2 linked regions of the Caenorhabditis elegans genome follow. The protein of the gene in region 1 interacts with the protein of each later gene in a pairwise test. Each region holds a gene or a part of one and is shown in the gene's direction. Other genes may lie near its edges.

Evidence for each region. The genes of interacting proteins can lie anywhere in the genome.
Region 2: the proteins of dcp-66 (region 1) and ehn-3 interact in a two-hybrid assay, tested with the Caenorhabditis elegans proteins (one large-scale study listed by BioGRID).

Annotation. Positions count from the first base shown.
Region 1 is NC_003279.8:7,540,485-7,544,239, reverse strand, and holds the start of dcp-66 (Transcription factor dcp-66), read left to right. Parts: upstream 1-2,080; 5' UTR 2,081-2,228; coding exon 2,229-2,237; intron 2,238-2,592; coding exon 2,593-3,261; intron 3,262-3,582; coding exon 3,583-3,755. UniProt on the Caenorhabditis elegans protein: Transcription factor which binds to the 5'-CCATACATTA-3' motif found in the promoter region of pgp-12 and activates its expression in the excretory cell.
Region 2 is NC_003282.8:5,417,526-5,421,280, reverse strand, and holds the start of ehn-3 (Zinc finger protein ehn-3), read left to right. Parts: upstream 1-2,058; 5' UTR 2,059-2,085; coding exon 2,086-2,127; intron 2,128-2,359; coding exon 2,360-2,449; intron 2,450-2,818; exon of another isoform or gene 2,819-2,839; intron 2,840-3,112; exon of another isoform or gene 3,113-3,133; intron 3,134-3,226; coding exon 3,227-3,451; intron 3,452-3,755. UniProt on the Caenorhabditis elegans protein: Together with the zinc finger protein ztf-16, plays a role in gonadogenesis, specifically in somatic gonad precursor cell development. This is possibly by regulating tra-1 gene expression.

The DNA of each region.
Region 1 (3,755 bases):
TTTCAATGACTTGACCTCGTTTCGCTGCGGGTTTCGACCATTATGAATAGGCTTTTTTTTTCTAGAAGTTGGTCATCTCTCATTCTTCTCTTCTACCGACTTATCTCGCATACTGATAGGTTGCCATCAACTCTAGATGGACGCATAGATCCTAGCGTAATTTTGAGGTTATTCTATTCTTTTTAGAAGACAATTTCGGTTGTGATGATCTCAAAGTAGCGGTGTCCTGGTTTAGAAATTTACCTTCCGATGATCCGATAATCAGTAGTAGTCATCGCACCTAGCTCTATTTTTTGGAAACTAAAAGTTTTGTTAGAGACTGTATATGTAGGAACACTGTTTTGTTAGATTTTTAGTCTTTCTGAACGCGAAACATAGAGTTTCGAACCTAGAAGTGTTCAATCAACACCGAATTTAGATTCAGCTCCCGACGTGGGGAGAGTGGTTGCGATGTTGGCAGAGCAAGTAGGACATGATGATTAGACGTTTGAGCATATTCAGTTGGACAGCTGCTGCCGTCTTGGCACCACCTATATTGAATCCCAGTTGGGGTCAGGTTCGGGCCGTGTGAGATGGAAAGAGAGAGAGAAAGTAGGGAGAGAGTGAGTGTGTGCGTTTTGTGTGTGTGAGGGTGTGTGTGTGTGTGTGTGGCCGAGTGTCATTGTTCGAGTAGAATGAAGCGAAACAAGAAATAATCGATTGACTTATGTGTCCTCCTCCGCCTTCCTTCATCTTCTTCGTCCGTCCGTCCCCGTCCGTCCACGCACCCTCAGCCGCTCCTAGTGGTTTTCAATCTTCATCCTAGTCTTCATCAGCATCATCGTCGCCGTCATCTCAATTTGTTTCTCACGCGCTTAATGTTTGTATTTGTGAATGTGCCAAGTACTACCACCGTACTTGTCGGTGCAAGACACCACCATTTTAGTGTGTTCTAGAACATTTTGTAAGAGAAAAGAAGTCCACAGCTCTTCCAAATCTATTCCAAATATATTACTTTCAGGACTGAATTTTCGCTAACATGGTTTTTGGTGGATTACCGTTTCATGAATTCCAGACTATCCTAGGTTAAATTTACGGAGACTTCACCTAGTTGCGTATCTCCAACCTAATTATGATCCTTGAACCAATAATTTTGTATTGTTTCTCTAGCCTGCAGTACAAAATTAGTTAAACCTCATAGTTTCGAAATTGGTATTTTCACAAAATTCGCCACATTGTATTTTTCTTTAACTATAAAAATTCTACGATATTACCATCTGCATTGCACACAAAAAACATTCTTTTCCAATACTGTGACTTTAAAGGGGGTGACCATTTATTCGAAATGGTCCCGCCACGCGCTCTAGCGTGGCGAGACCATTTCACAAAAATGCGCTCTCCTTTAAAGTCGCAGAAGTGTAGAAATTTTTTTAAATTTTTTTTCGAAAAAAAAACACTGTTTGTGTCGTTTCTTGTTGACCTCTGCTTCACTAAACGATTTTTGAATAAAGATTTGTTCTTTAGTAGATTCTGACCACAAAGAACCCAGAAACCTGTGAATATTTCCAAATATCAGTATCTCAAAATTGCTCTAATCTTAAATTGTTTTGTATGGAGTTTCGCGAATCTTTCCAGTACGGCCTAAGCAAAACTAGCAAAACTAGAAAAAGAGTTCAACTCTCCACCACGGGAAATATGAATAACTCTTGGAAAAATTGACACGAAAGTAGTGTGGTAAAGTAAAGTAGAAAGTAGAAAGTAGGTGGCTTTTGATGAGTTGTAGATGATCACGTTCATCAAACATTTCAAAAGAAAAAAAAACTTAATTTTTCCCATGATCATCTCAACCTCCTTCCCTTTTTTTCCCTAATAACATTTTGCTTTTTTCTCTCACTATCTGCGTATCTTCTTTCTATCATCATTCCCCATTTTCTCTGCGCTCTCTTCTCTCTCTTATTGCTTTTATATTGGGTGAAATGATGTGACGTCACACGGACACCACCTCGTTTTGGATATTCAAATCTTTTGTTTTACTAATCTGCGTCTCTTTCTTACACTACACTATAAGTGCCGGTGACATTATAATTTCAACTTTTATTCCAGAACAAACTCAACACTAACTGATTGCTGTTGTTCTCTTGGACTCCAATGCAAGCTCTCGACGAACGGTGTTAATCGATTTTTATTTTGCTCCGCTCCACTTGAGTTTTGACTGGATTCCATTTATTTAGTATTTATATACAATAAATATGGCACAGGTAGGTGTTTCTATTTACAGTTATATTAAACGAACTCAAAAAATATTTCGTGTTTGGAATATTCAAATTTAATATTTATTATGTCAAGTAATTTTCATTAAAAATGGGGTAGCGAGTTCGATCAATCTAAATACTAAAATTAAAACTTACTGAATTCCGAATTCAGTTCACAAAAAATAACAAATTTTGGAGAAGACTGAAGGTTTACCCTAATAAATGAGAAAATAAGCATTTTCAGTCTATTTTTGGACAGTTTTAGTGTAATTTTAAAATTTTTGCTACCTCAAATTTAGTTGAAAATTAGAATCTTAATTGAAAAAATTCGAATAACTTTTTAAACCCAATGTTTTTAAAGGTTCAACAAGTTCCATCGTCACCTATGAATGGGATTCCTGAAAAGAATGGAAATGGTTTGAGTATCGAAGAATCAGCTTCAACAGCCGTCGCTGCACTTGCACATATTCAAAATGGAGCTGTTCTATTTCATGGAACACCTACAAAAGATTTGAATGGAGCTTCAACATCAATCGATACCGATGATTTACAACTTTCACCGAGTGATCTACGGCGGCGGAGTACACGAGCAAGTGCTCTGAAGGCTCAGGAAAAGATTAAACTGAAAGATGATATTGTACAAGGACCACAAAAACGGGCGAATGATGATGATGATATGGAAGATGAAGAGTTGGGAGATGAAATTAATGAGCAATCAGCTCCAAAAAAAAGAAGACTCGAAAATGGAAAAGAGTTTGATCAAACATGTTTCCGATTTGGACTTCGTGCGAATAATGAAGGTGAAGTATACGCAATGACTGATGAGAGTGAAAATTCTTCAATTCATGAAAGTGAAATGGAAGTTGTGAGGTATCATTATGAAAAAATGAAGAATAAGGAACCGGATGAGGAACAATTAAGAGAACGTTTAAATATGAGAAGAGAAGCTGAAAATCAGTTACGAGAAGAAGAGGCAAAATTGCTAGTTTTGAGAAAAATGAAGGATAGTCAGACAAGAGCTATCACCAAGGTTCGTTTTCTTCACTATTCGAGAAATAAAAACGCCAATTTTAGATAAAAGTGTAACTTCACAAATAGTTTAAAAAAATTTTCATCATAAAACTCGCAAAAATTCCGGATTTTTGCCCTGAGAGAATTGTAGTTAAATTTTCGGCGAGTTATGATCTGAGAATAGGAAATGCTTCAAGTTTTATGCTGATAAAATGTTTCATTCAAAAAACACACATTTTCAAAAAAACCGACAAAAGTGAAGGAAACTCTTTGTGAAACTGAAATCTGTATGAAATAAAAATAAATGATCAAAACTTTTTTGTATTAATATTTTTTCCAGCTGGCCGCCGAAACTAAAGCTGCTGATCTTGCTGAAGCGACATCTGCAGCATATAAACCAGCGGTTGCTACAAATGGAAAATCTGTTACTAATGGAAAGAATTCGATGATTGAGTCAAATAACAAAACAATGAATGGACTTAAGAATCTTTCAATTCCACAACAACTCGAATT
Region 2 (3,755 bases), on another chromosome or scaffold:
GCACGGCACTTTTTGAGCGGAGCCTATGGTTCCCAAGAGGTCCCGCTCCAACAACTTTGTGCAACATTTATAGACCCCGGGAAAAATTTGAATTAAGGGGTAATCCTTTTTTCATTTTTATTTTCATAATTGTGAGCGGATTGTTGGTAAAGCTGCTGTGAAATAGGCGGCTCAAATCGTTAAAGTCAAATTTTAAAAATATTTGAAAGATTTGGAGAAGAAAGTCAATATTCTACCCGCGACGTTTTTTTTGTTTGAAGAACCACTAAACATAAATATGCCCTAGCGTTAAGGAAGTCTATCAAAACTATCAATACTATAGTATACTGTAGTTACAAGGATATTGAAACAGTTAAAGATTTACATCACTAAAACTAATTTCATATCACTTTTGCAGTATCTTGTTTCAACTTAGTATTTATGATTTCTCATTTTTATTATTTAGACTGGTAAGCAGAGAGAAAAAAGCTGGGAATTAGGAAAAAGTAACAACATGAGCAGAGGAAGAAGAAGAGCAACAAGAGCATTAGACAGAATTAGTGATGATGTAGAAGGTACAAGATGAAAAATAGCAAAAAAATAAGTAGAGAATAAAATCAAAACTTTTTCATTTTTCGGTTTTTGGACTACTTTAGAAACTGTAAACAGAGGAAACAGTGGTTTTGTTGGACGTTAAAAACATTTGAATATTTCACATTTAAAATTCCGTTGCAATCAGTTTGAATTTAAAATACATTTAATTTCTAGCTATGTTGAAACTGTGAAATTTTCGGAAAATGCGAAAAAAATGTGACGGATTTTTAAATATTTTATCTAAATCTTCACCGGATAATTTTGGAAATAATACGTTTAGAGGTCGAGCATGATCCCGATTAAAATTAATTAATTGTTAACTGTTTTATGGACTATTTGAAACGTGTTCAATTTGAAAAATGGCATTCATTCTTTCCATCAAACTCATAGTTATTTTTCAGATCTGAAAAAATATCAGAGCCTATTTATCTCGATTGAAAACATTTCTGCCTTTTATAGCTTGATTTTAAGGGTTTGTTGAAACAGTGATATTTTTTTGAAAATAAATGAAAACATTTTCTTGAGTAAGACCTCTCCAGCTATCTTTGGATACTGAATAAATCAGATCTCATACACCAAAAAGCCGATAACTAAAAATATAAATATTATTTCCAGAAGTTTATCACGGAGAATCTTCGATTCCTGACATTAAAATCGAAAGCATTTTCCATTAAAAACTAATATTTTTGCACTCTTCACCTTCTTCCGGCATGTAATCCTATATTACAGACATCCAAGGTAAAAGAGAAAAAACTTGATTTCCTTTTTTCCCTTTTTCTCCAGAAACGTCTTCCAATGTCGTCTTCTTCCTGGACACATTATGCTAATTTATTCGATTTGTGCCATGGTTAATGTATTAGGAAGAAGGAAGAGCATTACGCTATGAACAAAACGCTTTTTTTCGCCACGTGATTTGCGGTTTTGCAGGAGATGGGGGATTCTATTGTTGAAACTAACAAATCCTGAAACTCATAAAATTTTAGTGAATTCATGAATCTGTAAAAATTCTGAATTCTAACAATAATGAAAAGACTTTACAGAGATAAATAAAAACCGAATGAAACATTTAAAATCAGTCAAACAAATGTTTTCTATGAAACAGGAAATTTAATTCTAAAAAAAAAAAAGGATTTTTTTACTCGTACAGTCCAAAGTACTGTAACTGTTCTTAAAATTGACCCCAATTGTAATTTAATATCAATTTGTCCACTATATTTGCTACCTTCTCTTCCAAATCATGAAAGTGACCTCTGACTATATATCACCCCAGTTTGTCACCAACCATCTGGCAAGTAGCGGCAGCCGGCTTATCTGTTATGTCGGAAGATGTGCTTCTTCTCCGACTTGTTAAGATATCTGACACCTAGGATTGTATATTTCCCCCAAATGACCTTCGACAGTACCCGAGAAGTTATAAACAATTTGTGCTCCACCCAAAGTTTGGAATAGAAAATCCTATAGTCACTTTCTGACACTCTCTGACTTTATTCCTCCCAGCTTCCAAATTACAAAATGGAAAAATGCGATATTTGTCACCAGAAGTTTTCCAATAAGGTGAGTGGAGAGTACTAAAGGTTATAGGTAGAAACTAAAGTGCCTACCAGGTTACTTATGGTTTCGTAAACTACTTTCTTGTTTGGCTCTTGAAAAACTGAGACGCAAGACTCAAATCTTTAGAAAATTTCTTTTTAATTATCAATTTACAACATTGTTCAAATCGAAAAGCAACAAAAAACAAGTTACTAAAATCGTAGAAAAATTTTGATTTCCATGTATATTTTTTCAGACAAACTTGAATCGTCATAAGGTGATGCACAGTGGAAAAAAGAAGTTTGAATGTCAGTTCTGCAGAAGACCTTTTTTTCGGAATGATCGGGTTAGTTCTTGTGGTTTTCCGATAAATTTGTATAGAGGATATTTTATTGAAGTTTCTTTATAAAGTTTAGTCGTTTTAGTACAAGCTTTATCTCTAGTGACCAAAAAAATTCACTAAGTAACCTACTTTACGAAAGTTAATTACTTGAAATTATTCCAAACGCTTACAAATAACTCGATTTTTTTGTCGAAACGTTAAAAAAAATGCTAGAAAAAAGCTTCCTAAAAGTTGACTCAATTTATCACTCGTACATCAGATTTAAAGCAGAATGAAACAATCTGTGTTATTGATTTTCAGAAATTGACACAAAAATTTTAATTATGTGTTTCATGATGTTTTTAATAATCACTGAATGCAATTTACGATTACTGGTATCTGTGATTTGCGAATCTGTTCAAAAATAAATGTTTAATGCCAAAGCACTAAAAAATTAAAAGAGAATTAGCACCCAGCATGCCAAATGATGTAGGGGAATTATTTTTCTGTGGATGTGTACTGATACGTTGGCTTTAATTTACTGTTAGCTAGAGAAAATTTAAAAGCTTTGTTTTAAATATTTTTATTGAAAACAAAGTTAAGATTGTTAAAAGTCGTTTACTTTTTCCAGATCTGACCATCAGTTTTTTATATGAAAGTTTCAGTTATGCAAGAAAAGTTGTATTTTCAAATATACTTTGAGAAAGATCGAGCTTTCTAGTAGTATAAAGCATTAAGCATTATTTCTTGAAACATTAAACAGATTAGAAAACAATCTCTTCAACTTTTAATCCAACTCAGATGAAAGAGCACATGATGACCCATATCAAGAAAGGAAATACCTTTGAATGTCCCATCACAGCGTGCAATTCAAAGTTCAACAGCTTCACGAGTTTGCAGTTTCATGTAGATTCGGAGCATATCATAAGAGGATCGTCTCCAGCTAAATGTAAATCTTGCATCAAATGGTTCAACAGTTCCCATCGTCTTCTGCTTCATTTTCATACTGCACACCTGGATCATACGGTGAGTACTTTTTTCTGTGGAAGAATTGAAGCACACACTGTTTTTATTTGGATTTTACATCAGCTACTTGCTTACGAGTAGGTTATAGCTGTGATGTGTTAAGTTTAGCCTACGTTTGATCCGATTCTTGCCGAATGTTGACTAAACTTTTCATTTGAGACTAAAAGTAAAATTTTGAAAACCGTTGGGTCTTGCAATCGAAAATACTTGAAAGCTTCAAAACATTAGAAAAATTGATCTAAAATAGAATTCACTATACTCGAACTTCTCCACATAATTGAATTGAATTTCAAAATACTTTTTC